Linked DNA regions of Anolis sagrei. The protein of the gene in region 4 purifies or fractionates together with the protein of the main gene of each other region. This does not show direct contact. Links are inferred from orthologs where the notes say so. Each region holds a gene or a part of one and is shown on either strand. Other genes may lie near its edges.

Evidence for each region.
Region 1: the proteins of SOD1 (region 4) and TPI1 purify together in Homo sapiens (affinity purification with mass spectrometry; 3 studies listed by BioGRID, with this or other methods). This does not show direct contact. The link is inferred for Anolis sagrei from reciprocal best matches to the Homo sapiens genes SOD1 and TPI1.
Region 2: the proteins of SOD1 (region 4) and PRDX5 fractionate together in Homo sapiens (co-fractionation; 3 studies listed by BioGRID and IntAct, with this or other methods). This does not show direct contact. The link is inferred for Anolis sagrei from reciprocal best matches to the Homo sapiens genes SOD1 and PRDX5.
Region 3: the proteins of SOD1 (region 4) and ENO1 fractionate together in Homo sapiens (co-fractionation; 3 studies listed by BioGRID, with this or other methods). This does not show direct contact. The link is inferred for Anolis sagrei from reciprocal best matches to the Homo sapiens genes SOD1 and ENO1.

Annotation. Positions count from the first base shown.
Region 1 is NC_090022.1:198,088,836-198,097,336, forward strand, and holds the start of TPI1 (triosephosphate isomerase), read left to right. Parts: upstream 1-5,194; 5' UTR 5,195-5,280; coding exon 5,281-5,392; intron 5,393-8,501. UniProt on the Homo sapiens protein: Triosephosphate isomerase is an extremely efficient metabolic enzyme that catalyzes the interconversion between dihydroxyacetone phosphate (DHAP) and D-glyceraldehyde-3-phosphate (G3P) in glycolysis and gluconeogenesis.
Region 2 is NC_090032.1:16,793,287-16,801,300, forward strand, and holds the start of PRDX5 (peroxiredoxin-5, mitochondrial), read left to right. Parts: upstream 1-4,600; 5' UTR 4,601-4,683; coding exon 4,684-4,824; intron 4,825-8,014. Other genes in the region: TRMT112 (multifunctional methyltransferase subunit TRM112-like protein), read right to left, coding at 1,685-1,765. UniProt on the Homo sapiens protein: Thiol-specific peroxidase that catalyzes the reduction of hydrogen peroxide and organic hydroperoxides to water and alcohols, respectively.
Region 3 is NC_090033.1:2,611,848-2,619,928, reverse strand, and holds the start of ENO1 (alpha-enolase), read right to left. Parts: upstream 3,170-8,081; 5' UTR 3,071-3,169; intron 1-3,070. UniProt on the Homo sapiens protein: Glycolytic enzyme the catalyzes the conversion of 2-phosphoglycerate to phosphoenolpyruvate. In addition to glycolysis, involved in various processes such as growth control, hypoxia tolerance and allergic responses.
Region 4 is NC_090023.1:68,915,980-68,924,201, forward strand, and holds the start of SOD1 (superoxide dismutase [Cu-Zn]), read left to right. Parts: upstream 1-4,793; 5' UTR 4,794-4,839; coding exon 4,840-4,962; intron 4,963-8,222. UniProt on the Homo sapiens protein: Destroys radicals which are normally produced within the cells and which are toxic to biological systems.

The DNA.
Region 1 (8,501 bases), on a different chromosome or scaffold from region 4:
TGAGCCCACACTGCCATATATCCCAGTTCAAAGCAGAAAATGTGGGATTTTATTCAGCTGTGTGGAAGGGGCCCATGTGTCTGTGCTGGTTGATGGTGGAGGAGGAAGAAGATGCAGTTTCAGGACCAAACATGGGAGGGCTGCCATCAGAACCAGAGGCTTTCCGTCCGCCTTCTGCCTTCCTTTTGTTCTGGACGATGCTTATAGCCCACACCTCAGTTTGGTTGCCTTGCTCAGACACAAGCACCTCCTTTTTGTTCAAGTCCAGAGGCCCTCTTCCACTCCAGATATCTTTGAGCTATTGGAAGTAATCTGCCCCAAGGAATAATCATCATCATCATCTATCCTGACTCTGTCAAAATTTGATATAATGTGATCTCACATAAAGTAAACAGAAGAAGAAGAACTTTATTTTTCTACCCCGCCTCCATTTCCCCGAAGGGACTCAGGGCGGCTTACATGGGGCCAAGTCCAGGGAACATAACAATTAAAAGCAGAGCAATAACAAAATGCAATTTAAAAGCATAAAGCAAACATAATAATAGACAAGCATCAAGCAACAAAAGAACTAAGGGTGTGTTTCTCCCTTTCGCCCTCCATTGTGCCTTCAAATTCTGCAGCACTGCCAGTCACAGCTGACCTCCAGTTAGAGTGCTCAAGGGCCAGGGCTTCCCAGTTCTCGGTGTCTATGCCACAGTTTTTGAGGTTGGCTTTAAGCCCATCTTTAAATCTCTTTTCCTGTCCATCAACATTCCTATTTCTATTCTTGAGTTTGGATTTGATTATGTACTACATAACGGTTCTGGCCCAAGTTACCTATCCGATCGCATCTCCGCCTACGAACCCACTAGGACTTTGAGATCTTCCAGGGAGGCCCTGCTCTCGATCCCGCCTGCAACACAGGCATGGCTGGCGAGGACGAGAGACAGGGCCTTCTCGGTGGTGGCCCCTTGGCTGTGGAACACCCTTCCCACAGACATTAGATCAGCTCCCTCATTGATGGTATTTCAGAGAAAAGTGAAAACCTGGTTATTTGAACAGGCGTTTGAATAGGCAGTGCAATGAATTTTAGGAAATGGAACTACGGATGACGAGTTTGGATCATGATTCTAGTTATGAGACGCCAATGAATAAATGTTTATTGTTGTTTAATTGCTTAGTCTGCTATTGGGTTTATTTGTTTTTAAATACCTTGTTATGCTGCATTGAATTTTTGCTATTATTGTTGTTAACTGCTGTGAATCACCTAAGGGCTGAGAATAGCGGTATACAAGTGAAGTAAATAAATAAATAAATAAATAAATGGTAGAAAGGGTATGGATTAGATGGCCCTTGCAGTTTCTTCCAAGGACCCTTCCACACAGCCCTTTATCCCATAATATCTAGGCAGAAAATCCCACAATAAATGCTTTAAATTTGGTTATCTGAGTCCACACTCAGATAATATGGGATAATGAAAGGATCCATGTGAGGGGGAAACTCCCAGGGCCCTTCCACACAGTCCTATAACCCAGAATATCAAGGCAGAATAACCCACAATATCTGCTTTAAACCAGGTTATCTGAGTGTACACTGCCATATATTCCAGTTCAAAGCAGAAAATGTGGGATTTTGTTTAGTTGTGTGGAAAGGGCCAAAATAAGGACCGCATAATGAAACAGGCGAAAGCGAGGAGGAGCTGAGGAACCTTCTAATCAAGGTGAAAGAAGAAAGCGCAAAAGCTGGGTTGCAGCTAAACATCAAAAAAACCAAGATTATAGCAACAAGAATGATTGACAACTGGGAAATAGAGGGAGAAAACGTGGAGGCCGTGACAGACTTTGTATTTCTAGGCGCAAAGATTACTGCAGATGCAGATTGTGGCCAGGAAATCAGGAGACGCTTACTTCTTGGGAGGAGAGCAATGTCCAGTCTCGATAAAATCGTAAAGAGTAGAGACATGAGACTGGCAACAAAGATCCGCCTAGTCAAAGCCATGGTATTCCCTGTAGTCACCTACGGATGTGAGAGCTGGACCTTAGGGAAGGCTGAGCGAAGGAAGATCGATGCTTTTGAGCTGTGGTGCTGGGGGAAAGTGCTGAGAGTGCCTTGGACTGCGAGAAGATCCAACCAGTCCATCCTCCAGGAAATAAAGCCCGACTGCTCACTGGAGGGAAGGATACTAGAGACAAAGTTGAAGTACTTTGGCCACATCATGAGGAGACAGGAAAGCCTAAAGAAGACAATGATGCTGGGGAAAGTGGAAGGCAAAAGGAAGAGGGGCCGACCAAGGGCAAGATGGATGGATGGCATCCTTGAAGTGACTGGCTTTTTTTTTTTTTTTTAATATTTTTTATTGGTTTTTGCATACTATACAGGGGTGAGGAAAAAATAGGGGAAGGTAGGAATTAGGGTAGGTGGGTTTGGGATTGGGGGATGGAAAGGGGGGAGGGGAAAGGTTCCATCACCAACACCGTTTTCTTCTGTACTCTGACTTCCCAGGGTTTTTCAAGAGTCTTATTCTTCTGGTTGCTAGTCCTTCAGACTCTGATTTGTTTCTGCTGACAAAGCGGTAGACATTTCGTTGTTCTCTTCTAGAACTTTGTAAGATCGATCATGATGGGAATTTCTTTTGTTTTTAAATAGTCCGTAAAATCTGTCCAGTCAGTTTTTTTCTTAACTCCGTTTATTCTTTCAGCTAGATTATCCATTTGTATTATATCGAAAGCTTTAATAATCCATTCTTCTAATGTTGGTGTTTCCTTCTGTTTCCACTTTTTTGCAATGACCAGTCTGGCTGCTGTACTCAGTAAAAATAAGACTTTGTCCTGATTTCGATTTAATTTGGTCTCCTTGAGTATTCCTAATAAGTAAGTCTCGGGGGCTTTTCTGAAAGTTAATTTTAGTATTTTTTGGGATGCCCTATGGATCTTATTCCAAAATCTTTTGATATTTGTACAAGCCCACCATTGGTGGAAAAAAGTGCCCGTTCTTTTTTCGCACTTCCAGCATTTATCCGAAATTGTATTATTTTTTTTAAATCTAGCTAATTTCTCTGGCGTATAGTGCCATCGATAGAACATTTTGAACCAATTTTCTTTGATGTCACTGGCTGCCGAATATCTAATTTTTGTTGTCCAAATTTCTTCCCATTGGTCTGACGTGATAGTATATCCAAAATCTCTAGCCCATTTTATTTGGCATTCTTTAACCTGTTCTTCTTCCGTATTCCAAGTTTGTAATTGTTTGTATAGTATTTTTATTAATTTTTTCTCTTTCTCCATAATTATGTCCCACAATCCCTTGTTTTGTTCAAATCCTAATTTTTCGTCCTTTTTGTATCCCTCCCGAATTTGGTAATAGGTCAACCATGTGGCTTTGGGATTTATTTTTTGGAGTTCATCATAAGACTTTAAGATTAAATTTCCTTCTTCGTTTTTCTTTAGGAGTTGTTTGTAAGTGGGCCAATTTTCAATCCCTAATTCTTTTTTCTGTTTTGCTTCCAATGTTGAAATCCAGAGTGGGGTGTATCTAAACAGTCTATTTTTATGTTTTTCCCACGTTTTAATGAGGGCTGCTCTTATTATGTGATTTGCAAAATTTTTTTCTATTTTCCGCCGATCATACCACAGGTAGCTGTGCCACCCGGCTCTTAAATCATGTCCCTCTAGTGTTAGTATATGGTTATTCTCTAATTTTGTCCAGTCTTTGATTGCAACCAAGTTGCACGCCTCGTAGTATGTCCTAAAGTCTGGCAGTCCCATCCCACCTCTCTTTTTATCATCCGTCATTATTTTTAGACTGATTCTCGGCCTTTTCCCTTTCCATATGAATTTGATTACGTCCGAATTCCATTTTTTGAAAAGGTGGTTATTTCTAATCACTGGAATAGTTTGGAACAAGAATAATAATTGTGGTAGCACAATCATTTTAATTAATGCAATTCTCCCCATGAGGGAGTGATTTTGGTTCTTCCATTTCGCCAGATCCTTCTGGATTTTTTTCCAGAGTACTTCATAATTATTTTTAATTAGTGCAATATTACTTTTGGTTACGTGTATTCCTAAGTATTTTATTTTGGATACCGTCTGGATTTCTGTTACTTTATGTAGCGTGTCTTTTGCTTTCTCATTCATATTTTTGGTTAATAATTTAGTTTTTTGTTTGTTTAACTTGAATCCCGCAAGATTACCAAAATCTTCAATTTTTTTTAGCCAATCTTTGATATTGTTTATTGGGCTTTCAACAAAGCACACTACATCGTCTGCGTAGGTTTTTAATTTATATTCTTTTTTTTGAATTCTCGGCCCTCTTAAATTTTTATCGTTATTTATGTTTTTGACCAGAATTTCCATGACTAGAATGAAAAGTAAGGGGGACAATGGGCATCCTTGCCTTGTACCTTGTGAGATTGGTATTGATTTTTCGGTCTCCTGTCCATTAATTACCAGGGTGGCCTCTTGTTTTCCGTAAATTGCATTTATTACATTTCTAAAACAAAATCCCATATCCAATTCTTTAGCTAGCAATTTTATGAAACACCAATTTACCTTATCGAATGCTTTTTCGGCATCTACAAAGAGTAGAGCCAGAGCCTTTTCTGTATGTTTTTCGTAATATTCAATTATGTTGATTAGAGTTCTAGTATTGTCTTTTATTTGTCGGTTAGGTAAAAATCCTGATTGTTCTTTTGATGTCCATTCTTTTAGAAAATTTTTTAATCTTTCTGCCATAATTGTGGCGAATAGTTTATAATCATTATTTAGGAGCGAAATTGGGCGATAATTTTTAATTTGGGTTGTTTCGGTGTTTTCTTTATGTAATAGAACTGGCTTGACCTTGAAGCCAGTGACTGGCTTGACCTTGAAGGAGCTGGGGGTGGTGACGGCCGACAGGGAGCTCTGGCGTGGACTGGTCCATGAGGTCACGGAGAGTCGGAGACGACTGAACGAATGAACAACAACATAATGAAACAGGAAATTACAGACCTCAAAACATCTGAGGATATTTGCCATAGATGCAGGCGAAACGTCAGGAGAGAATGCTTCTAAAACAGCCCGGAAAACCTACAACCCAGGAAATTGCACTCTCAAACCGGGAACAGAACATTTCCCAAATAGAGATCTCTTTCCCTCCTCCAGAGTGCAAAGGGGCGGGGCCTATGTGACGTCAGCAGGGGCGAATGGGCGTGGCTTCGCTGAGGCGTTCTTATAAGAGCGACCGCCGCGCCGTGCGACCTTGCCATCTTCTCCTCCTCCGTCGTTGCCGCCTCCCTTCTTCCTCTCACTCTCCACCCGCACCATGGCGCCAAGGAAGTTCTTCGTGGGCGGGAACTGGAAGATGAACGGCGACAAGAAGAGCCTCGGGGAGCTCATCAAGACCCTCAACGGGGGCAAGGTCGCCGGGGACGTCGGTAAAGCGGGGCCGGGGAGCCGGGGGGGGGGAAGGAAGGGAGGGGGAGCGTTGCTGGGGAGCGGTTCAAGCCACGCCCCCTTGCGGCCAAGCCACGCCCCCTCTCCGCCGCGTGCCCTGCTGCACGTAGCCCCGCGCGCGGAGGCTCCCCATCCACTGCTGCGCCCTTTGCAAAGGCATTGGAAGCCGGTGGTTTACTTTGGCCTATATTTTCTACATGCATTTGACTAGGGGAGTAGACACCTTTTCCCTTTCATGAGCAGTTTTTCCCCTTGAATGCATTTAAAAGAAGTTTATAGTATAATAATATAATAATAATATAATGTAATCTATATAAATAAAAATGCAATGTTCGTTTGTGGGATTAACAGAACTCAAAAACCAGTGGGCGAATTGAGACCAAATTTGGACAGTATGCACCTAACAACCCAATGTATAGCCTTCACTCAAAAAATTTTGATTTTGGCATTTGGAAGTTGTAGTTGCTGGGATTTATCGTTCACCAACAATCAAAGAACATTCTGAACCCCACCAACGAAGGAATTGAACCCAACTTGGCACACAGTTCTCCCATGACCAACAGGAAATAATGGAAGGGTTTGGTGGGCAGTGTCCTTTGGTTTTGGAGTTGTAGTTCACCTACACCCAGAGATCACGTTGGACTCAAACAATGATGGATGTGGACCAAACTACAAGATTACTCAATATGCCCAGATGTGAACACTGGTGGAGTTTGGGGAAAATAGAATCTTGACATTTGGGAGTTGTAGTTGCTGGGATTTATAGTTCACCTACAATCACAGACCATTCTGAACCCTACCAATGATAGAATTGGGCCAAACCTCCCACACAGAATCCCCATGTGGGCCACAGCAACGCATGGCAGGGGATGGCTAGTACAATATAATATTATAATGTAATACAATATAATACGATATAATTATATATTTTGTGTTACATGTGATATTACTAATATAACAATATGGGAGATGGTGGTGGGGTATAAATACAGTTTATTATTATAGTACAATGTAGTAATATATAATACTGATATTGTACTATGCTAATAATATAATATATTGCATATTTATGTATGTGTGTGGGTGTGTGTGTATATATATATCTTCTAATCTGCTCTGAGTCCCCTTCGAGGTGAGAAGGGCGGCATATAAATAAGTGGGTTAAAAATACTCTTTTTCAGCACATGAATATGTTCTTTATATTACATGTAATATGACTAATAATATTACAATTTATTTATTTATCGTGTCAGGGGCAACCAGACAATTGTATTACATTTCTAACAGAACAAAACAAACATACATACAAAACACAAAATTTGCAAGCTTGGTAGTTGATTAAATGTCCTTTGACCAGTATCTGGCCACTTGGAGTGCCTCTTGTGTTGCTGCAAGAAAGTCCTCCATTGTGCATGTGGCAAGGCTCAGGTTGCATTGCAGCAGGTGGTCAGTGATTTGCTCTTCTCCACACTCGCATGTCGTGGATTTCACTTTGTAGCCCCATTTCTTAAGGTTGGCTCTGCATCTTGTGGTGCCAGAGCGCAGTCTGTTCAGCGCCTTCCAAGTCGCCCAGTCTTCTGTGTGCCCAGGGGGGAGTCTCTCATTTGGTATCAGCCATTGGTTGAGGTTCTGGATTTGAGCCTGCCACTTTTGGACTCTTGCTTGCTGAGGTGTTCCAGCGAGTGTCTCTGTAGATCTTAGAAAACTATGTCTTGATTGAAGTCATTGACGTGCTGGCTGATATCCAAACAGGGATATCAGCTTTTGATGAGCTGGAGATGTCACTGCCTTAGTCCTTTCACTATTGGCTGCTACTTCCCGGCAGATGTCAGGTGGTGCAATACTGGCTAAACAGTGTAATTTCTCCAATGGTGTAGGGCGCAGACACCCCATGGTAATGGGGCATGTCTCATTAAGATTGTAATTATATTACAATATAATGGTATAGTGCAATATCTTAATATATAATACTGATATTGTACTATTCTAATAATATAATATAATATATTGTATGTATATGTGTGTGTGTGTGTGTGTGTGTATATATATATATATATATATATATATATATATATATATATATATATCTTGTAAGCCGCTCTGAGTCCCCTTCAGGGTGAGAAGGGCGGCATATAAATGTCATAAATAAATAAAAGAAGTGAGTTAAAAATATTCTTTTTCAGCACATGAATATGTTCTTCATTTTACCTTAATCCCCACATTAATCTTGCCCATTGGAATCAATACTTTTTTAGTTAAGTTGTGTTTCATGAACCATTAGTGTCCTGTTGGGTCTACTCTTTTGAATGTTGGATCTATCCCAGGCATGAGCAAACCTCAGCCCTCCAGGTGTTTTGAACTGTTAGGAATTGTGGGAGTTGGAGTCCAAAATACCTGGAGGGCCCAGGTTTGCCCATCCCTGATCTAGCCTGATCTAGCCTTTACTACAGCCTTTACTTTTTTGTGGTATGCAGTGATTCTCACACTCTGCTCCTATGGGTGTTTTGGACTTCAGCTCCCAGAACCCAACTATTAGGAATTGTGGGAGCTGAAGTCCAAAATATCTGGGGCAGCACAGTTTAAGAAACACTTCTACTGCAGTGATAGGGCTTATGCAGTGCTCCAGATATTATTATGCCACTGTGGAGTCCCATCATCCCTAGCTTTTAATTCTGGATATGGCTTTTTAACTGCCTAGAGTTTTATTGTTGTGGAAAGTGTTTTATTGGTTTTTATTATGATTTGTTTTCTGATAGAATGCTTATATGGTTTATTTATTTATTATTTTTGAGGCATCAAATGACTGTCTTCACGTTGTAAGCTGCCCTGAGGTCCCATGGGGGGGTGGGATGGGATATAAATAAAGTTCGATTGATAGCTCGCATTGCCAACAGAGAGGAATGCTAGCAATGTAGAAACGATTCTCAAAAATTCCACCCAAAAATCTGAGTCATAAGAATCTTACATGGGTCATCTAGTCCAACCCTTGCCATGCAATAAAAGCACAATCAAAGTATCCCTGACAGATGGCCATCCAGCCTCTGTTTAAAAGTTTCCAAGGAAGGAGCTTCCGCCACACTCTGAGGCAGA
Region 2 (8,014 bases), on a different chromosome or scaffold from region 4:
AATAATTATTATTATTAATGTTATTACTATTATTAGCTAATGTAATTATTATTACTATTATTAGCTAATGTAATTAATAATAATAATAATAATAATGTTGTTATTATTATTATTATTATTATTATTATTATTAGCTAATGTAAGCCAGGCCGGAGATAGATAATATAGAAGGAATGCCAGAGTTCTTTAATTGTGAAACCCTAACCCTTACCCTAATCCTGAACCATACCAGAATCGTAACCCTAACCCCTTACCCAAACCCTTACCCAAACCCTAAACCTTACGCTAACCCAAACCCTAAACCTTACCCTAACCCTAACCGTAAAAGGTAAAGGTAAAGATTTCTCCTTGACATTAAACCTAGTCATGTCCGACTCTGGGGGTTGCTGCTCATCTCCATTTCTAAGCCGAAGAGCTGGCGTTGTCCTCCTAGGTCAGGTGGCCAGCATGACTGCATGGAACGCCGTTACCTTCTCACCAGATCTATTGATCTACTCACATTTGCATGCTTTTCGAACTGCTAATAGCGGACGCTCACGCCACTCCCTGGATTTGAACCGCCGACCTTTCGGTCAGCAAGTTCAGCGGTTTAACCCGCTGTGCCACTGAGCGGCCCTTAATATAATATTATATAAACTGCTAGGTTGGCAGTTTGAAACCCCTAACCCTAACCCCTAACCCTGCCCTAACCCTTACCCCAAGCATCCCCTCCTTTCTATCCTTCCTTTGCTCTCCCCGCTCTCCCTCCGCTCCCTCTCTTCGCTTTTCCCAGCCGCGTTTGCGGCATCTCCGTAACGCTCGGAGCTTCCGTACACACCTATCATACTATCACCGAGTTCTTTCTCTCACCTTGGACCTTCAAAGAACTCTTGTCTGTTGGAGGCAAGTGTGGATGCTGCAATTGGCCACCTTGATTAGCACTGAATGGCCTTGCAGCTTAAAAACTTGGCTGGTTTCTGCCCGGGGAAATAATGTCCAGGGTGGGAGAAAGAACTCTTGTCTGTTGGAGGCAAGTGCGGATGCGGCAATTGGCCACCTTGATAAGCACTGAATGGCCTCGCAGCTTCACAGACTGGCTGGTTTCTGCCTGGGGGAATAATGTCCAGGGTGGGAGAAAGAACTCTTGTCTGTTGGAGGCAAGTGCGGATGCTGCAATTGGCCACCTTGATTAGCAATAAATGGCCTCGCAGCTTCAAAGCCTGGCTTCTTCCTGTTAACACATCCCAACAAAGGACTTCCTCAGGCAGGAAGCAGCTAGGCTTTGAAGATACAAGGCCATTCTTTGCTATAATCAAGATGGCGAATTACAGCATCCACACTTGCCTCCAACAGACAAGAGTTCTTTCTCCCACCACAGATATATCAACCCCATTGTCCTAGTTTCCAACAAACCTCACAACCTCTGAGGATGCCTGTCATAGATGTGGGCGAAACATCAGGAGAGAATGCTTCTGGAACATGGCCAGGCAACCTGGAAATCCTCACAGCAACACAGCGTAGGATTTGCCCCAAATTCCCCATAGATTTGAAGATTATTTCAGCCTTGCGGCTTCAAAGCCTGGCTTATTCCTGTTAACACATCCCAACAAAGGACTTCTTCAGGCAGGAAGAAACCAGGCTTTGAAGGTACAAGGCCATTCAATGCTAATCAAGGGGGCGTGGCCTGGGAACGCCCCGCCCTCACCTGAATGCGAAGAGGGAAGCCGCCGCCGGGCTTCACGCCCCGCACGTGAGAAGTCAGCATGTTGTGCGTCAAAAGCTTCATCCTCGCACGACGCCGGTGGCCGGGCCGGGAAACCGTCTGCGCATGCGTGCCGCCACTCCACCGCTCTAACGCCCCCTTTTTCCTCTCACTTCCGGCGGCTAATTTCGACACACTTCCGGTGAGTTAGTGCAACGCTAATATCGAATGTACGGGAAACCAGATCTAAATGCGACACCGTTCCGGGTTGTAATATTTCATTTAAACCAACATCCCCACTATTTAAATATTTAAATAAATGAAATAAAATATATAAATAAATATAATATTAAAATGCAATGTTAATATAACATATACAATGTTCTATATATAAAATATAATATCAACGAAATGTTTCAATAAAATAATAATTATTTATGATTATTTGTTTGTTTGTTTTAGTAGAATAATGCCCAGGGTGGGAGAAAGAACTCTTGTCTGCTTGAGGCAAGTGGGAATGTTGCAATTGGCCACTTTGATTAGCATTGAATGGCCTTGCAGCTTCAAAGCCTGGCTGGTTGCTGCCTGGGGGAATCCTTTGTTGGGAGGTTTTAGCTGGCCCCGATTGTTTCGTGTCAGGAATTAGATCTTCTTGAACCATTTCTAGAGCATTATACTATTACAATATTATTATATCTTCTTGAACCAATGCCTCGAGTATTATTATATCTTTTTGAACTAATTTTTGATTGATTCTTGAGTATTATTATTATTATACTATACTTCCCTGAACCGATTATTATGATATTATTCTCATATCTAACCCTAATATTTCCTTGCAGCTTCAAAGCCTTGCAGCTTCAAAGCTTGGCTGCTTCCTGCCTGGGGGAATCTTTAGTATTGAATAGCCTTTTAGCTTCAAAGCCTGGGTGGAAATCCTTAGCATTGAATAGCCTTGCAGCTTCAAAGCCTGGGTGGAAATCCTTAGCACTGAATAGCCTTGCAGCTTCAAAGCCTGGGTGGAAATCCTTAGCATTGAATAGCCTTGCAGCTTCAAAGCCTGGGGGGAAATCCTTAGCATTGAATAGCCTTGCAGCTTCAAAGCCTGGGTGGAAATCCTTAGCATTAAATAGCCTTGCAGCTTCAAAGCCTGGGTGGAAATCCTTAGCATTGAATAGCCTTGCAGTTTCAAAGCCTGGGGGGAAATCCTTAGCATTGAATAGCCTTGCAGCTTCAAAGCCTGGGTGGAAATCCTTAGCATTGAATAGCCTTGCAGCTTCAAAGCCTGGGGGGAAATCCTTAGCATTGAATAGCCTTGCAGCTTCAAAGCCTGGGTGGAAATCCTTAGCATTGAATAGCCTTGCAGCTTCAAAGCCTGGCTTCTTCCAGCCTGGGGGAATCCTTAGCATTGAATACCCTTGCAGCTTCAAAGCCTGGCTGTCTCCTGTCTGGGGGGGGGAATCCTTAGGATTGAAAAGCCTTGCAGCTTCAAAAACTGGCTGTCTCCTGTCTGCGGAGGGGAATCCTTAGCATTCAATAGTCTTGCAGCTTCAAAGCCTGGCTGTCTCCTGTCTGGGGGGGGGATCCTTAGCATCGAATAGCCTTGTGGCTTCAAAGCTTGGCTGTCTCCTGTCTGGGGAGGGGAATCCTTAGCATTGAATAGCCGTACAGCTATTGAATGCCTTACAGCATTGAATAGCCTTGCAGCTTCAAAACCTGGCTGCTTCCTGCCTGGGGGAATCCTTAGCATTGAATAGCCTTGCAGCTTCAAAGCCTGTCTGACACTTGCCTGGGGGAATCCTTAGCATTGAATAGCCTTGCAGCTTCAAAGCCTGTCTGCTTCCTGCCTGGGGGAATCCTTAGCATTGAATAGCCTTGCAGCTTCAAAACCTGGCTGTTTCCTGAATGGGGGAAACTTAGCATTGAATAGACTTGCAGCATCAAAACCTGGCTGCTTCTTGCCTGGGGGGAATCCTTAGCATTGAATACCCTTACAGCTTGAAACCCTGGCTGCTTCCTGACTGGATGAATCCTTAGCATTGAATAGCCTTACAGCTTTAAAGCCTTAGCATTGAATAGCTTTGCAGCTTCAAAACCTGGCTGCTTCCTGCGTGTAGAATCCTTAGCGTTGAATAGCCTTGCAGCTTCAAAGCCTGGCTATCTCTTGTCTGGGGGAATCCTTAGCATTGAATAGCCTTGCAGCTTCAAAGCCTGGCTGCTTCCTGCCTGGGGAGAATCTTTAGTATTGAATACCCTTGCAGCTTCAAAGCCTGGATGCTTCCTGAATGGGGGAATCCTTAGCATTGAATAGCCTTACAGCTTTAAAGCCTTAGGATTGAATAGTTTTTCAGCTTCAAAGCCTAGCTGCTTCCTGCCTGGAGGGAAATCCTTAGCATTGAATAGCCTTGCAGCTTCAAAGCCTGGCTGCTTCCTGAATGTGGGAATCCTTAGCATTGGATAGCCTTACAGCTTTAAAGCCTTAGCATTGAATAGCCTTGCAGCTTCAAAGCCTGGCTGCTTCCTGCCTGGGGGAATCTTTAGCATTAAATACCCATACAGCTTTAAAGCCTTAGCATTGAATAGCCTTGCAGCTTCAAAGCTTGGCTGCTTCCTGCCTGGGGGGAATCCTTAGCATTGAATACCCTTACAGCTTTAAAGCCTTAGCATTGAATAGCCTTGCAGCTTCAAAGCCCGGCTGCTTCCTGCCTGGGGGGAGGATCCTTTCAGGGGAGGTTAGCTGGCCCTGATTATTTCCTGTTTTTCTGAGCGTTGTTCTTTATTTACCATGCTGATTTTAGAGGTTGGTTTTTAATACTGGTCGGCAGATTGTGTTCATTTCCACGTGGTTGTACTTCATGCAAATGAGATGCAGATGAGCCACCCCAGGCCCCGCCCCTTGCGTTGGCCCCGCCCCCTGACTACCCGCCCTCCGGAGGGGAGAGGGAGACTTGGGAGGCAGGCCCGGGGTTGCCAGGGCAGCAGCCGTCACTCCTGCGATTTCCATGGCAACGGGGTGGCGAGGGGCGGGGGTGCTGGCTTTGGCAGGCAGGGCTGTTTTGGTGCAGGCCCCACTCCTCGGCATCCGTGGAGCGCAGAAGGGCCGGTATTTCGGGACCGGAGCAGCAGCCATGGCCGCCCTCAAGGTCAGTCGCCTCGGGGCGGGTCCACACCGGAGAGTTAACGCGGTTTGGCCCCTCCGGGAGCCGTCATTAGAGTTGGCAAAGGCTCGAGAAGGGCCTGAGTGAGGCCTAGGCCTGGAATGCCTCCTCAGGAGGCATTCCAGGCCTAGGCCTCACTCAGGCCCTTCTCGAGTTGCATTGACTGTGTGTGAGGCATTCCTCTTAAGGGCTGGAATACCATATTTTGTGTGTGTGTATTTATGTCTATTGTGCATTGTAGTTTCTGCATGTGATTATGTACAGTAGTCTCTTCTCCAACATCAACGAAAATAAGCGAAAATGTGGACTAAAAAGGAGGAATCTGGAGAACAAGCCCTATGAGGAGCGGCTTAAAGAGCCCGAGAAGAAGAGAAGCCTTTCTGTATGGGATTATGTACAGTAGTCTCTTCTCCAACATCAACGAAAATAAGCGAAAATGTGGACTAAAAAGGAGGGATCTGGAGAACAAGCCCTATGAGGAGCGGCTTAAAGAGCCCGAGAAGAAGAGAAGCCTTTCTGTATGGGATTATGTACAGTAGTCTCTTCTCCAACATCAACGAAAATAAGCGAAAATGTGGACTAAAAAGGAGGGATCTGGAGAACAAGCCCTATGAGGAGCGGCTTAAAGAGCCTGAGAAGAAGAGAAGCCATTCTGTATGTGATTATGTACAGTAGTCTCTTCTCCAACATCAACGAAAATAAGCGAAAATGTGGACTAAAAAGGAGGGATCTGGAGAACAAGCCCTATGAGGAGCGGCTTAAAGAGCCCGAGAAGAAGAGAAGCCTTTCTGTATGGGATTATGTACAGTAGTCTCTTCTCCAGCATAAACGGGCCAAGAGCAGAACGTTGGATAAGCGAAAATGTGGAGTAAAAAGGAGGGATCTGGAGAACAAGCCCTATGAGGAGCGGCTTAAATAGCCTGAGAAGACATGAAGAAGGCCAGGGATAAATATGTGAGAGGGAGGAGGGGGAGAACTTGTTTTCTGTTTCCTTGAAGACTAGGACGCGGAACTATGGCTTCAAATATGCCTGCAGGACAAGGACTGTTTACAGACGTCACATGCAACTCCTGGAACGATTCCATGAGCGCTGCCTCCGGAAAATCCTGCAAATCTCTTGGGAAGACAAGCGGGGAAATGTCAGCATGCTGGAAGAAGCAAAGACCACCGGCATTGAAGCAATGGTCCTCCGCCATCAACTCCGCTGGGCTGGCCACGTTGTCCGGATGCCCGACCACCGTCTCACAAAGCAGTTGCTCTACTCCGATCTCAAGAATGGAAAACGGAATGTGGGTGGAAAGGAAAAGAGATTGAAAGATGGGATCAAAGCCAACCTTAAAAACTCTGGCTTCCCAGTTCTCAGGGTCAATGCCAGAGTTTTTAAGGTTGGCTTTGATCCCATCTTTCAATCTCTTTTCCTTCCCACCAACATTCCTTTTTCTTTAAAAACTCTGGCCCTTGAGCACTCCAGCTGGAGGTCAGTTGTGACCAGTAGTGCTGCAGAATTTGAAGAGGCATGAATGGAGGAAGAAATAAACATGCCAAGAGGAAGACGCGTCAAGCCAACCCCAACTGGGACCGCTTTTCACCTGGAAACCAATGCCCTCGCTGCAGGAGAAGATGCAGGTCAAGAATAGGGCTCCATTGCCACCTACGGACCCACCCTGGAGGATTATCCTACGAAAAGAGATTTAAAGTAGTCCACGCTCTGGTTACATCGCGTTTAGACTACTGCAATGCTCTCTACGTGGGGTTGCCTCTGAAGACTGCCTGGAAGCGTCAATCAGTCCAACGTGCGGCAGCCAGATTGCTAACAGGAGCGGGGTACAGAGACCATACGACCCCTCTGTTACGCCAGCTCCACTGGCTGCCGATCAGCTTCTGTGCACAATTCAAAGTGCTGGTTCTGACCTATAAAGCCCTAAACGACTCTGGCCCAGTTTACCTGTCCGAACGGATTCTCCCCTATGAACCATCAAGGCTATTAAGATCTTCCAGGGGGGGCCTGCTCTCGGTCCCACCACCCTCGCAATCACGGTTGGTGGGGACAAGGGACAGGGCCTTCTCGGTGGTGGCTCCCCGGCTTTGGAACTCCCTCCCACTAGAGATCAGATCTGCTCCCTCCCTCCTGACATTCAGGAAATTACTAAAGACATTTGGAATGTGGCATTTGAGGACTGAATCTAGAACCTCCCCCTGTGATGAATTATGATGAACTGTGACTACAAGTATGACTATGACCATGACTGGATTGACGATTTGGCTTAGGTAATTGTGATGATGATGTTTTATTGTACTGTATTGTACTATTTTAATATGTAATGACTTTGCACTTGTTGTTCTTTATATGATTGTATTTTATATATGCTGTAAACCGACCTGAGTCCCTCGTCGAGGTGAGAAGGCCAGTATAGAAAACTTCTAAATAAATAAATAAAGATGGGCTCAAAGCCAACCTTAAAAACTCTGGCATAGACACTGAGAACTGGGAAGCCCTGGCCCTTGAGAGCTCCAGCTGGAGGTCAGCTGTGACCAGCAGTGCTGAGGAATTTGAAGAGGCACAAATGGAGGGCAAAAGCGTACCTGTCCGAATGTATCTCCTTCTATGTCCCATCTTGGAGTTTAAGATCTTCTGGGGAGGCCCTGCTCTCGGTCCCACCTTTAGGCTTGGGCAATGCATGGTTCTAAATGGTTCTAAAGTACTTACAAAACTAAAGTTCTGGTAGTGAAAATTTCAGAACTCTAACAAAACTTTCAAAATTTAATTATTATTTCATTATTGGTGATTTTAATGACAGAACCAATTAGGAACTGCCATTTATTATGAAATTTTGAGAGTTTTGTTAGAGTTCTGAAATTTTCACCACCAGAACTTTAGTTTTGTAAGTACTTTAGAACCATTTAGAACCATGGATTGCCCAAGCCTAAGTCCTTTACCACAAGTGAGACTGGTGGGGACGGGGGACAGGACCTTCTCGGTGGTGGCCCCTCGCCTGTGGAATTCACTCCCCGGGGGAAATTAGGTCATCGACATCCCTCCTCTCCTTCAGAAGGAAGTTGAAAACATGGATATGGGACCAGGCCTTTGGGTAATATGCCAGACCGACAAGGCAATGACGACCAGAGTTTGGAAAGGATAATGCTGAATGGACTTACGGATTTTAGAACTCGGTGA
Region 3 (8,081 bases), on a different chromosome or scaffold from region 4:
GAATATTAAATCTACACTTAAATATTATATTATATTGTAATATTATATCATTTAATAATAATAATAATAATAATTATTATTATTATTATTATTATTATTATCTGGACCTGGAGAATTCCAAGCCTGGCTCCAAACAGGAATATTAAATCTACACTTAAATATTATATTATATTGTAATATTATATCATTTAATAATAATAATAATAATAATGATAATTATTATTATTATCTGGACCTGGAGAATTCCAAGCCTGCCTTCAAATAGGAATATTAAATATGCACTTAAATATTATAATATATCATCATATTATAATATTCTTATATTATATTACATAATTATTATCTGGGCCTGGAGAATTCCAAGCCTGGCTCCAAATAGGAATATTAAATATACACTTAAATATTATATTGTAATATCTTATTATAATAATAATTATTATTATTATTATTATATTATTATTATTATTATCTGGGCCTGGAGAATTCCAAGCCTGGCTCCAAATAGGAATATTAAATATACACTGAAATGTTATTATATTATATTATAATATCATATATAATAATAATAATATCTGGACCTGGAGAATTCCAAGCCTGGCTCCAAATAGGAATGTTAAATATAGACTCAAATATTATATTGTATTAGAATATATTATATTATCATACTATATTATAATATTATATTACATTATCATATTATATCATTATTATCTGGACCTGGAGAATTCCAAGCCTGACTCCAAATAGGAATACTAAATATGCACTATATATAGTATATAAGCAAAGCCAATAAATAAATAAATAAATAATCATATTATAATATTATATTACATTATGATATTATATAATTATTATCTGGGCCTGGAGAATTCCAAGCCTGGCTCCAAATGGGAATATTAAATATGCACTCCAATATTATGATATATTCGAATATATTACATTAACATACTATATTATAATATTATATTACATTATGATATTATATAATTATTATCTGGACGTGGAGAATTCCAAGCCTGGCTCCACATGGGAATACTAAATATGCACTCAAAATATTATTATAATATATCAGAATATATTATATTATCATATTATATAATAATATTATATTATATAATTATTATCTGGGCCTGGAGAATTCCAAGCCTGGCTCCAAATGGGAATACTAAATAGGCACTCAAGTATTATTATACTATATTAGAATATATTGTATTATCCTACTATATTATAATATTATATTACATTACGGTATTATATAATTATTATCTGATGATATTATATAATTATTATCTGGGCCTGGAGAATTCCAAGTCTGGCTCCAAATGGGAATATTAAATATGCACTTAAAATTATATTATTATTATTATGCTTCTCCTGATAAGATCTAAGAGGCACCAATGAACGCAGAGCGGTTTCTCAGATGTGGGAGACCAGGGTGACCTTGGGCAAAGTCACACTCTCTCAGCCTCGGAGGAAGGCAAGGGGAAAGCCTCCCCCAAAGAAATCTTGCAAAATAACCATCATAATCCCTTATTAGGTAACAAGAAATCAGATTATGAGTGTTGGACTATGACTCCGGAGCACAGGATTCAAATCCTCACTCAGCCACAAATGACCTTGAGCAATGAATGGGATTTTGGAGGGCATGTGAACTTTTAAGTATACCTTTAAATGTATTTTAATATTTTTATCTTCCAAGCCACACATGTTATTAAATTCATATATTTTTTTATTGCAGTTGCTTAAGTTTTCAAGTATATTGGGTCATGTTTGCTGTTAACCCACATGGGAAAACATTGGAAAAAATAAAAATATAATATAAATATAAAATAAATCAATAAAATAGTTCAATAAACAAAGTTTTATTATTATTTTTATCTAGGCCTGGAGAATTCCAACCCTAGCTCCAAATAGGAATATTATTTATTTATAGCATTTATATTCAATGTTAAATTATTATAAAATATTAATATGCACTTAAATAGTATACTGTTATATATTAAATATGCACTTAAGTATTATATTATATATTATACTATATTGTATTTATTTACAGCATTTATATTCAATATTAAAGTATTATCATATATTAAATATGCACTTAAATATTATATTATTATATCATACTACATGATTATACTGTAATTAATTATTTACAGGATTTATATTCAATATTAAATTATTATGATACATGAAATATGCACTTAGATATTATATTATTATATTCTAATATAACATTTATCACTTTACATTATTATTATATATTAAATATGCACTTAAATATTATATTATTATATCATACTACATGATTATACTGTAATTATTTATTTACAGCATTTATATTCAATATTAAATTACTATTAAATATTAAATATTTACTTTCTTATTATATTATTATATTCTAATATAATATTATCATTTTACATTATAATAATAATATATAATATCATATTATAAAAATAAAAATATTAAATTATTATTATATATTAAATATGCACTTAATATTATATTATTATATCATACTACATGATTATACTGTTATTATTTATTTACATAAATAAATAAATACATAATAGTATATTATATGAACATAAATAAATATATAATAATATATTATATGAACATAAATATATATAATAGTAATTTAATATTTATATTCAATATTAAATTACTATCATATGTTAACATGCACTTAAATATAATATTAGATTCTAATATATCATTTTATATTAATATATATTATATTAGAAAAATAAATATATGAAAAATACATTAAATAGTCACACTCTCTCAGCCCATGATAGGTTCACTTCTCCTTTATTTAGGGCCTTCCTTTTGCATTTTGGGCCCTGCTCTGATGGAAGAGGACCTTAAAAAACTACCTAGATATTTGGGAAAGGATGCAAAGTGGTCCTTTGTTCCCTTTGCAACCAAATCCATTGCAGGAATTTAGAATATATTATCCAAATAATAATCACATACACTAACACCCATGCACTTACCTAGGACTAAGAACAGCGCCTGGCAATGCAAAAAAAAAAGTAACTTACAATGATAGAAAACTACTTACTGTTTGCAAAAAGAACCAAGCAAGAGAATTGCAAAGGCTGCTGCTTCCTGTGCAACTGGGGAAGATCCGCCTGGCTCGCGCTGAGCTATAACCCGGGCGTATGCAAATCAATGCCCGGGACTCGGCTTTTTATTGGCTGGCTGGGTCCCCGGCTCCTTCCTGATTGGTCAGGACGCGCCTCTCGCCAGGCTCGCCTAGCCTTTCTGGCGCGTGCGCTACGTGCACAAACGCCTTCCTTTTTGCTCAAAGAGAGAGAGAGAGCGAGAGAGCAAAGGAAAGGAAGGAGAATTTTTCTCTCTCCTTTTTTTCACTCTTAAAACACCCGCATTTAATTTCTTTCTTTTTTTTTCAAGGATGGAAAATCCCCATTTTTTTGCAAAGACAATGCAAAAATGCAATACAAAAAAATAATACAATACAAAAAAATACAATACAAAAAGCAATACAAAAAAATAAAATAAAAATGCAATACAAAAAAAATAAAATTGAAATACAATACGAAACAAAAAAAATACAATACAAAAAATAAAATAAAAATGCAATACAAAAAAAAATAAAATTGAAATACAATACGAAACAAAAAATACAATACAAAAATGCAATACAAAAAAATAAAATAAAAATGCAATACAAAAAAAAATTGAAATACAATACGAAACAAAAAAAATACAATACAAAAATGCAATACAAAAAAATAAAATAAAAATACAAAACAAACCAAAAACAATCCAATACAAAAAAGCAATCCAAAAAATAAAATAAAAATACAATACAAAAATCCAATCCAAAAAAATAAAATAAAAATACAATACAAACCAAAAACAATCCAATACAAAAATGCAATACAAAAAATAAAATAAAAATATAATACAAAAAAAGAATACAATACAAAAATGCAATACAAAAAATAAAATAAAAATACAATACAAACCAAAAAAATACAATACAAAAATCCAATAAAAAAAATAAAATTAAAATACAATACAAAAAAAGAATACAATACAAAAATGCAATACAAAAAATAAAATAAAAATACAATACAAACCAAAAAAATACACTACAAAAAAAAGAGAGTGCAAAGGAAAAAGACTTTTTTTCTTTCTCTCCTGTTTTTTAAAAAAATGCATTTAATTTATTTCTTTTTTCCAAGGATGGAAAATCCCCATTTTTTGCAAATACAAAAATGCAATACAAAAAGTACAATACAAAACAAAAAAAAAATTACTATACAAAACAAAAAATACAATACAAAAATGCAATTCAAAAAAAGAGAGAGGAAGGAGACTTTTTTCTTTCCTTTTAAAAATATATTTAATTTCTCTCTTTTCTTTTTTTCAAGGATGGAAAATCCCCAGCGGTGTGAGCTTCCGCTGTCAGCCCTAGCTTCTGCCAACCTAGCAGTTCAAAAACATCAAAATGTGAGTACATCAATAGGTACTGCTCTGACAGGAAGGCAACGGTGCTCCATGCAGTCATGCTCATCATGACCACACTCTTTTGTTGATTTGCCACACGCAGCTGGATTTTTGTGTGTCAACACACCGCCGCGAAAGGGAGTTAAGTGGTACTGGCATCAATGGAAAGAGAAAGAAAGAGAAGGAAAAGGCAAAAGCAACAGGGAATTAATGTAGGCAAACAGATTTACCAGGGGCCGGTTCGTACCAAGTCTCTGAAAATTGGCATCTATTTATTTATTTATTTACTGCATTTCTATGCCGCCCTTCTCACCCCGAAGGGGACTCAGAGCAGCTTACAATATATATTTTCATACCATATATTTACAGAGAGTTTCATCTATGCTGATGATCGTGCCATCACCGCTCAAGCAGGGAGCTTTGAGATGGTTGAACAGAAGCTTTCCGAAGCTCTAGGTGCTCTCACTGCCTCTTACAGGGAAAACCAGCTGATCCCTAATCCATCTAAAACACAGACATGTACCTTTCACCTTAAGAACACACAAGCATCCCGAGCTCTGAGGATTATTACCTGGGAAGGAATCCCACTGGAGCATTGCAGCGCACCCAAATACCTGGGAGTCACTGTGGACCGTGCTCTGACCTACAAGAAGCACTGCCTGAACATCAAGCAAAAAGTGGGTGCTAGAAACAATATCATACAGAAGCTGACTGGCACAACCTGGGGATCACAACCAGACACAGTGAAGACATCTGCCCTTGCGCTGTGCTACTCTGCTGCTGAGTACGCATGCCCAGTGTGGAACACATCTCACCACGCTAAAACAGTGGATGTGACTCTGAATGAGACATGCCGCATTATCACGAGGTGCCTGCGCCCTACACCACTGGAGAAATTACACTGCTTAGCCGGTATTTCACCACCTGACATCCGCCGAGAAGGAGCAGCCAATAGTGAAAGGACCAAGGCAGTGACATCTCCAGCTCATCCCTGTTTGGGTATCAGCCAGCACGTCAACGACTTAAATCAAGACATAGTTTTCTAAGATCTACAGAGACACTCGCTGGAACACCCCAGCAAGCGAGAGTCCAAAAGTGGCAGGCTCAAACCCAGCACCTCAATTTGTGGGTGATACCAGATGAGAGACTCCCTCCTGGGCACACAGAGGACTGGGCGACTTGGAAGGCGCTGAACAGACTGCACTCGGGCACCACGAGATGCAGAGCCAACCTCAAGAAATGGGGCCACAAAGTGGAATCCACGCCATGCGAGTGTTTACAACGTTGTTTACAATGCAGTCAAGTCTTCATGTGTGTGTCATATTTCCCGTAGCATGAATACATGTCTTTACGATAGATAGCCACATGGTTTTTCCTGGGAATCCAGATTCACAGCAGACAGTATCAGGCCTTGCGCATGCCTGTTTAAGAACAAGAGGATTCTTTCTCATGCAAGGGGAGAAGAGAGCATTCCTGTTAGCCTTGGCATCTGTTTGGGCAAGAAGAGGCCTGCTTTATTAGCATTCGAATGAGCAGCTGCTACTTTTGGGCATATTGAGTATCTGTGCCAAGTTTGGTCCAGATCTATCATTGTTTGAGTCCACAGTGGTCTCTGGATGTGGGTGAACTAGAACTCCCAAACTCAAGGTCAGTGCCCAACCAAACCCTTCCAGTATTTTCTGCTGGTCATGGGAGTCCTGTGTGCCAAGTTCGGTTCAATTCCATCGCTGGTGGAGTTCAGAATGCTCTTTGATTGTAGGGGAACTGCAAATCCCAGCAACCATAACTCCCAAATGTCAAGGTCTATTTTTCCCAAACTCCACCAGTGTTCACATTTGGGTATAGTGAGTATTTGTGCCAAATTTGGTCCAAATCCATCATTGTTTGAGTCCACCTTGCTCTCTCAATGTAAGTGAACTACAACTCCCAAACTCAAGGTCAATGCCCACCAAACCCAGTATTTTCAGTGTGCCAAGTTTGGTTCAATTCTATCATTGGTGGAGTTCAGAATGCTCTTTGATTATAGGTGAACTATAAATCCCAGCAACTACAACTCCCAAATGTCAAGGTCTATTTTTCCCAAACTCCACCATTGTTCACATTTTGGCATATTGAGTATTAGTGCCAAGATTGGTCCAGATCTATCATTGCTTGAGTCCACCTTGCTCTCTTGATGTAAGTGAACTACAACTCCAAAACTCAAGGTTCAGTGCCCACCAAACTCTTCCAGTATTTTCTGTGGGTCCTGGGAGTTCTGTGTGCCAAGATTGGTTCAATTCCATCAGTGGTGGAGTTCAGAATGCTCTTGGATTGTAGGTGAACTATAAATCCTAGCAACTAAAACCCCCAAATATCAAGGTCTATTTTCCCCAAACTCCACCAGTCTTCACATTTGGGCATATTGAGTATTTGTGTCAAATTTGGTCCAGATCCATCATTGTTTGAGTCCACCGTGATCTCTGGATGTAGGTGAACTACAACTCCCAAAATCAAGATCAATTCCCACCAAACCCTTCCATTTTTTTCTGTTGGTCATGGGAGTTCTGTGTGCCAAGATTGGTTCAATTCCATCAGTGGTGGGGTTCAGAATGTTCTTTGATTGTAGGTGAACTATAAATCCCAGCAACTACAACTCCTAAATGTCAAGATCTTTCCCCCCCACATTTTGGCATATTGAGTATCTGGGCCAAGTTTGGTCCAGATCTATCATTGCTTGAGTCCACCTTGCTCTCTCGATGTAAGTGAACCACAACTCCAATATGCTGGAAGGGTTTGGCTGTAGGTGAACTATAAATCCCAGCAACTACAACTCCCAAATGTCGTCGTTTTTCCCCACATTTGGGCATATTGAGTATCCGTGCCAAGTTTGGTCCAGATCTATCATTGCTTGAGTCTACCTTGCTCTCTTGATGTAAGTGAACTACAACTCCAAAATGCTGGAAGGGTTTGGTTGTAGCTGAACTATAAATCCCAGCAACTACAACTCCCAAATGTCAAGGTTTTTTTCCCCCAAACTCCACCACTTTTGGGCATATTGAGTATCCGTGCCAAGTTTGGTCCAGACCCATCATTGCTTGAGTCCACAGTGCTCTCTGGATGTAAGTGAACTACAACTCCAAAACTCAAGGTCAATCACCCACCAAACCTTTCCAGCATTTTCTGTGGGTCAATTGGAGTTCTGTGTCCCAAGTTTGGTTCAATACCATCATTGGTGGAGTTCAGAATGCTCTTAGATTGTAGGTGAACTATAAATCCCAGCAACTACAACTCCAAAACTCAAGGTCAATCGCCCACCAAACCCTGCCAATATTTTCAGTTGGTGGGGGGAGTTCTGTGTTCCAAGTTTGGTTCAATACCATCATTGGTGGAGTTCAGAATGCTCTTTGATTGTAGATAAACCATAAATCCCAGCAACTACAACTCTCACAGGACAAAATCAGCCCCCCCCCCCCCAACCCCACCAGTATTCAAATTTGGACATATTGAGTATTTGTGCCCAACTTGGCCCAGTGAATGAAAACACATCCTGCATATCAGGTATTTCCATTATGATTCAAAACAGTAGCAAAATGACAGATACGAAGTAGCAATGTAAA
Region 4 (8,222 bases):
CAATGTACTATCCAGAATTGGAGGCAACATGTGCCCTCAATCCAGGCCCGTAGCCCCCCCCCCCCCCCGAAATTCTCAGGGTGGTCCGCGAGAAGGCCTTACTGCTACATTATTTAAACGGTTATGTTTATTCATATCAGGATATGATCACCATGCTCAATATATCCCATATGCATGGGGGTATTGGGATAATGATAGAAAAGGTTTGCTAGAGTAGATCCTGAGCCCCCCCCCCCCCCGAATCAAAATCCTGGCTATGGGCCTGCCTCAACCCATCTACCTGGTGAATGGAATCAACAGTAGAAAGTTATGGCCTTCATGTCCAATTTGTTGTGGATCTGGTTCTCCATTAAGGTGGGAAAGGATCAGACTTAATATTGTTTTATTTCTAATGTATTTGGAGCTGTAGTGTTGCTCTTTGTTTATTGTCCTGATTTTAGAGGGTTTTTAAATATTGGTATCCAGATTTTGTTCATTTTCATGGTGTCCTCCTTTCTGTTGAAACTGTCCACATGCTTGATGAATTTAAATGACTTGTGAACAAAATCTGGCTACCAGTATTAAAAAACTAAAATCAGGACAGTAAACAAAAAGCAACACTCAAAAAACAGGAGAATTCCAAACAAAATTCTATCAGGGCCAGCTAACACCTCTCAACAAAGGACCCTCAGGCAGAAATCTGCCAGGTTTTGAAGCTACAAGGCCATTAAATGCTAATCAAGGTGGCCAATTGCAACATTCATACTTGCCTCGAGCAGACCAGAGTTCTTTCTCCCACCCTGGACATTCTACAGATACATAAACCTCACTTGCCTTGTTTCCAACAGACCTCACAACCTCTGAGGATGCCTGCCACAGATGTGGGGAAAACATCAGGAGAGAATGCTTCTGGAACATGGCCATATAGCCCAGAAAACTCACAAAATTGCAGTTGTTGCAGGTGAATTGACACATGACGCAAGGGATATTGATTTTCTAACATGGAAGCAAGGAGATGAAATAAAGATTGTAGAACTGTCCAGTTGGGAATAAGCAATACAGGTTGCCTGGAATACGAAATACTCTAACACTCAAAACTGAATTGCTGACATCTTTGCTTTCTGATGTGAACAAACTTTGTTCCATGCTCATAATTATTTAAAATATTCTATATAAGATGACCTTCAGGCTATGTGGATATGAAACATAAGTAAATTTCATGTTTAGATTTGCATCCCATCTCCAAAATATTACATTATGTGTTGGCAAGCACTAGAAGTGCTCTGCATTTCAGATTTTGGAATTCTTGCAGATACATAATGAGGGATACTCAAATCTGTAGTAATACTGGCTTTCCAAAAAAAGTTTAACTTTGGAAAATGCAGCTGGGCGGCCCTTGCCTTGTTATTATTTGCCCTTATTAACTGGCTTTTACACATTTTTTAGCATTTACATGCTAAATGACCAGCTAAATGACCAGCCACTGCCAGAAGGGACAGAGAGTTTCATCTTTGCTGACGATCGTGCCATCACTGCTCAAGCAGAACTTTGAAATGGTTGAACAGAAGCTCTTTGAAGCTTTAGGTGCTCTTACTGCCTATTACAGGGAAAACCAGTGGATTCCTAAGCCATCTAAAACACAGACATGTGCTTTTCATCTTAAGAACAGAGAAGCATCTCAAACTCTGAGGATTGCCTGGGAAGGAAATCCACTGGAGCACTGCAGCACACCCAAATACCTGGGAGCAGGGCTGTAGCCGGGGGTGGGTTAAAAGTTCAACCCCGCCCTGAAATGTGTCAGGCTAAAAAAGAAACATGGTTTACTCATAAATTGGTAAACCAGTCAAAATTCATGAGTAAACCAGGTTACCGGCGGGGGTGTTGAACCCTTTCGGAGGGGGGGGGGGGGTGTAAAACCCTTAAACTCCCCCCAACCCCCCCCCCCCCCCCCCCCGCTACAGCCCTGCTTGGGAGTCACTCTGAACCGTGGACTGAGTTATAAGAAGCATTGCTTGAATATCAAGCAAAAAGTGGGTGCTAGAAGTAATATCGTACGAAAGCTGACTGGCACAACCTGGGGATCACAACCAGAAACAGTGAAGACATCTGCCCTTGTGCTTTGCTACTTTTCTGCTCAGTACGCATGCCTAGTATGGAATACATCTCACTGCATTAAAACAGGATGTGGCTCTTAATGAGACATACTGCATAATCACGGGATGTCTACGCCTAACACCGCTGGAGAAATTATACTGTTTAGCTGGTATTGCACCACCTCATACCTGCAGGGAAGTAGCAGCCAATAATGAAAGGAACAAGGCATTGACATCTTCGGCCCATCCTCTGTTTGGATGTCAGCCAGCAAACCAATGGCTTAAATCAAGAAACAGCTTCCTAAGATCGAGAGAGATACTTGCAGGAACAGCTCAGCAAGCGAGAGTCCAAAAGTGGCAGGCTAAAATCCGGAACCTCGTTCAATGGCTGGCACCAAATGAGAGACTCTGCCCCTGGGCACACAGAAGACTGGGTGACTTGGAAGGCGCTGAACAGACTGTGCTCTGGCATCACGAGATGCAGAGCCAACCTTAACAAATTGGTGGAGTCCACGACATGCGAGTGTGGAGAAGAACAAACCACAGAAAACTTCCTACAATTTTGTAGTAATTCGTGACCACATCTCCCTCCACCAACCTGTACAATCCCTCTGATCCTCTGGGGAGGCCCTCCTCTTGCCCATTCCTCTATCACAAGCATGACTTGTGGGAATGAGGGAGAAAGCCTTCTCCGCTATGGCCCCCTGACTTTGGAATTCACTACCTGGTGAAATTAGGCAAGCCCCCACCCTAGCAGCCTTTAAGAAAGATCTGAAAACTTGGCTCTTCCGATGTTCCTTTGGAGAATGACCATTCACCCCATTTCTGTTTGTTCCACCTACAGTGTTGCCCCTGTGATGCACTTTCTCCCATCCTAAACTGAAAGCCTAACCCCACTGTCCATCCTTTTGGGCTCCTCTCAAATGCACTTTTTCTACTCCTACCTCATCCAGGGTTTTATCATTTTACCTTGTCCATGTGGCCCACCCATAATGTTTGATTTTATATTATGTTATTTTGCTTTGTTTACTATATTCTGCTATTGTATGTATTTTATTGTGATATAATTTTGCTGTTTTTTGTTGTTTGCATCTTGTATTTTATTTTGCTGTATTGTATTTTTGGGCTTGGCCTCATGTTAGCTGCCCTGAGTCCCTCTCGGGGAGATGGTGGCGAGGTATAAATAAAGATTATTATTATTATTATTATTATTATTAGAAACACAACAAGATGAGTCCACAGCAGGCACTCTTCTGGCTTTGTATTGGATCACACGTCGGACAATTCCCAAGTGTCTAGGACTGTGTGATGTATCGGCAAATAATGCGTGCAGATCCCAGTAAGGTGGTCTTCTGCAGCTGGCAGCTGGTAATTTTGTCAGCGCCGATTGTGTTTAAGTGAAGGCCAGGGTCTTTAGGCACTGCATCCAGTGTATCGATCACCACTGGGACCACCTTTACTGGCTTGTGCCAGAGTCTTTGCAGTTCGATCTTTAAATTCTCATATTGTGTCAGCTTTTCCAGTTGTTTCTCTTCAATTCTGCTGTCAGCCGGGATTGTAACATCGACAATCCATACCTTGTTTTTTAACACAATCGCGAGGTCAGGAGTTTTGTGCTCCAAAACTCTTGTATGTCTGAATTCAGAATTCTCAGAGGAGTTTGACATGTTCATTCTCTGTAACTTTTTCCGGCTTGTGATCCCATCAGTTCTTTGTCGCAGGCAGATGGTATTTGTGGCACAAGTTCCAATGAATCACCCGAGCAATGGTGTTATGCCTCTGCTTGTAGTCTGTCTGCATGATCTTCTTGCAGCAGCTAAGGATGTGAAGATTATTATTATTATTATTATTATTACAATGCAACCTTGAGCCCTGCCACATGTACAAGCGAGGACCTTCTTATAGCGACACCAGAGGCACTCCAAGTGGCCAGCTTCTGGTCAAAGGACATTTACCATAATGCCAAGTTTTTAAAACTTTGTTGGTGTTTTTAAATGCATTTAAACTGTACCCTGAACTTGCTTCTGACATTAACAAATAAAATAAAGAAACTGGTTTGCCTTTAGGTGTACCTACACCAGGCACGAGTAAACTTTGGCTCTCCAGGTGTTTTGGACTCCAACTCCCACAATTCCTAACAGCCTCGGGCCCTTTCCTTTCACCCCTCAGCCGCTTAAGCGGCTGAGGGGTGAAAGGAAAGGGCCCGAGGCTGTTAGGAATTGTGGGAGTTGGAGTCCAAAACACCTGGAGAGCCAAACTTTGCTCCTGCCTGATCTATACAGTATTATTAATACAGCCTTTTGTGTGACTGAAGGTGTATCTACACAGCAGAATTAATGCAGTTCGACTGCCATGCCTCAATAACATGGAATAATGGGATTTATAGTATTGCTGTGCTTGGCAAAAGTTTGTGCTGCTTTATAATGTCTTTGAGAAGTGTAGTTTTCCTAGTCTTACAGCTCCAAATCCCAGGATTTCATAACACTGAGTTAGTGTAAAACTGCCTCAACCCTACAGGCACTCACCTTTGGCCACAATGAGGACAAGCTGATTAATCCGGGCCCTCCTTTCAGAGCGAGGGAAAAGACCATTTCGCCTTCGCTCGTTCCTGATTGGCTAAGGTCGAAATGTTTCGCCCGCCGGTTGGCTGCCTGGCTTGGAGAAGGGCGGGGATAGAATGGCACACTGCCTGGCGATTGGGTGGTAGGGTATAAAAGGGCGCGGAGGCGGGCCCGTGCTCGGTGGTGCAAGTAGGGGCGGTGCAGCTATGTTATCTGCGAAGGGTTTTGGACAGACGACCAATATGGCGGTGCAGAAGGCGGTCTGCTTGCTGACGGCCGACCCGGCCTCCGGGAGCAATGTCTGCGGCGTCGTTCGCTTCGAGCAGCAGGCAAGGCTCTTCTGGGAAGGGAGCAGCCGGGAAGGAAAGGGATGGAAAGCCTGGGTTTGGGGCCGGAGAGGGAGCGAGGGAATCCAGCCATGCAAGCAGGCCCCTCTGTCACTGCCATGGCTCCACGCTAAGGCATCACGGGAGCTGCAGTCTTGCAAGGTTTTGGGCCTTCTCTGTCAAACTGCAAATCCCAGGAACCCCTGGCATTCAGCCCTGGCGCCAATCTGCATTAATTCCACAGTGTAGATGGCCCCTTAGCCCAGTTCCTTTAATGCTGGCTCTCTGTTAGGGTGCATCAAAGGCGATGTGTTTTAAAATAGTTGCAGTGAGTTTTGTCATTTTCAGATAATTATATTTTTAATTCCATTATAGGCTTTAAATTGCATACTGTATTGTATTGGTTGTGGTACTTTTCACTATAGTATATAAATATAATAATATAAATGATATTAATATAATTATTATTAATAATAATATAATCATATAGCCTCATTACGGGGTCCACTGTAAGCCGTTCTGAGTCCCCCTTCGGGGGTTGAGAAGTGACGGGATAGAAATGCGAAAAATAAATAAATGCTTTTGGTCGTATCAGGAGCAACTGCAAGTCGCTTCTGGCGTGAGAGAATTGGCTGTCTGCGAGGACGTTGTCCAGGGGATGCCCGGATGTTCTGATGTTTTACCATTCCTGGGGGGGGGGGGCTTCTCTCATGTCCCCCCATGAGGAGCTGGAGCTGACAGAGGGAGCTCGGCCGCACTCTCCCCGGATTCAAACTTGTGACCTGTCAGTCTTCAGTCCTGCCTGCACATGGGTTTAACCCACTGCGCCACCGGGGGCTCTTGATATTAATAATGATATGCATGATATTAATATAATATACAAGATGATGATAATAATATACATGATATTAATATGAGCTGTTCAGCAGTGGAACTCTCTGCCCCGGAGTGTGGTGGAGGCTCCTTCTTTGGAGGCTTTTAAACAGAGGCTGGATGGCCATCTGTCAGGGGTGTTTTGAATGCGAATTTCCTGCTTCTTGGCAGGGGGTTGGACTGGATGGCCCACGAGGTCTCTTCCAACTCTATGATTCTATAATATTATAATATACATAATATTAATTATAATATACATGATAATAATATATATGATATGAATATAGTATTATGATCTAATATTTATCGTATCAGGAGTGAACCAATGCATTTGAGAAAACACAAAGTTTAAAAACTTGGCATTCTACTAAATGTCCTTTGACCAGTAGCTGGCCACTTGGAGTGCCTCTGGTGTTGCTATAAGAAAGTCCTCCACTGTGCATGTGGCAGGGCTCAGGTTGCATTGTAATAGGTGGTCTGTGGTTTGCTCTTCACCACCCACATGTCGTGAACTCCACTTTGTAGCCCCATTTCTTAAGGTTGTCTCTGCATCTTGTGGTGCCAGATGTAATATGCAATATGTGTGTGTGTGTGTGTGCGCGCGCACAATATTCACAATGATATACATGATATTAATATAATATTATAGTAATAATATACATGAGGATTTAAAGATCGAACTGTAAAGACTGGCACAAGCCAGTAAAGGTGGTCCCAGTTGTGATCAGCACGCAGGGTGCAGTGCCTAAAGACCTTAGCCTGCACTTAAAAACAATCAACACTGACAAGATTACTATCTGTCAGCTGCAAAAGGCCATCCTTCTCGGATCAGCACACACATTATTCATTATCCAACGTGTGATTGAATACAAATGATCTTATTCACTCTGTACTAATCTTGTTATGCATCTAATAATAATAATAATAAAGAATAATTGCCACATTTGTATTTCTGAAGGCCAGGTTTTTGGTATGTGCTTCTCTCTCGTGACTTTTTGATACACAGGTTGAGTATCCCTGATCCAAAATGCCTGGGACGAGAAATATTTCAGATTTTTTTCAGACCTTTATTTGCATATATGTGCACAATGAGATATCTCTGAGGTGGTATCCAAGCCTATCTTCCTGGAGCCCCCGTGGTGGAGCAGGTTAAAGCACTGAGCTTCTGAAATTGCTCACTGAAAGGTTCGCAGTTCAAATCCGGGGAGCAGGGTGAGCTCCCGCTGTTAGCCCCAGCTTCTGCCAACCTAGCAGTCTGAAAACATGCAAACGTGAGTACATCAATAGGTACTATGTTGGAGGAGAGGTAACGGCCCTCCATGCAGCCATGCCGGCCACATGACCTTGGAGGTGTCTACAGACAGCGCTGGCTCTTTGGCTTAGAAATGGAAATCAGCACCAACCCCCAGACTCGGACACAACTGGACATAATGGACTTAACCTTTACTAAACAAAGTTTGTGTACATTGAGTCATCAGAAAGCAAAGATTCAAAGGGCAGAAAAAAGTTTCCAATTAAACATTAGTAAGAAGGATAGTAAGGTTAGTAAGAGATAGTTGGCAGTGGAAGGTACATCTTTGGATATCTCCTTCATTGGAGGTTTTTAAGGAGTGGCTGCATGCTCACCCGTTGGGAGTGCCTTGATTGTATTTTGTTGCATGGCAGAATGAGGTTGGACTGGATGGCCCTATAACTCTAAGATTCTGTATCACTGTCACAACCACCTGTATGGACAGTTTTGCATTTTGGAGTATTTTGGATTTCCCAATAAGGAATGCTCAACTTCTGTTTAGATATTAACACATGCACTTTTAGTCTAGTGTTTCTCAAACTGTGCCCCTCCAGGTGTTTTGGACTTCAGCTCCCAAAAATCCCAGCCAGTGTACCAGCTTTTAGAAATTGTGGGAGTTGAAGTCCAACATCTGGAGGAGCATAGTTTGATGAGAAACTGGTCTAGATCACTTTGCTGTAAACTGTGAGTCCTGTCCCCAAAGAGGGTCCCTTTAACTCATTGTTGGGGGTCATAAAAATTGGCAACAGTAAAGGATTTCTGATTGCAACTCACTTACACAATCTGTTAGCAACGAATGGTGCAAACAGTGGACATGGCAAAAAATGCACAGCATCCACAAAAAGGAAAATCAGCCTGTTTCATACGCTTTGTAAATGCTGATTTATTATCAGTAAATGTTTTATTTTTATAATGATGTACCAACGTATGTAAAATTTTCTCAGGCGGAATGGAGTTGTGAATGGAAAAGTTTAAAAAGCCATGGTCTAATAAAAGTATGGCTGAAACTAGGCTAAAGGTAACAGTGACTATTAAAATTAATGTTAGCATTCCTACAGAAAAAATGAGGCCTGAGCTGAAAAATGTGTCAGTGAGTCAT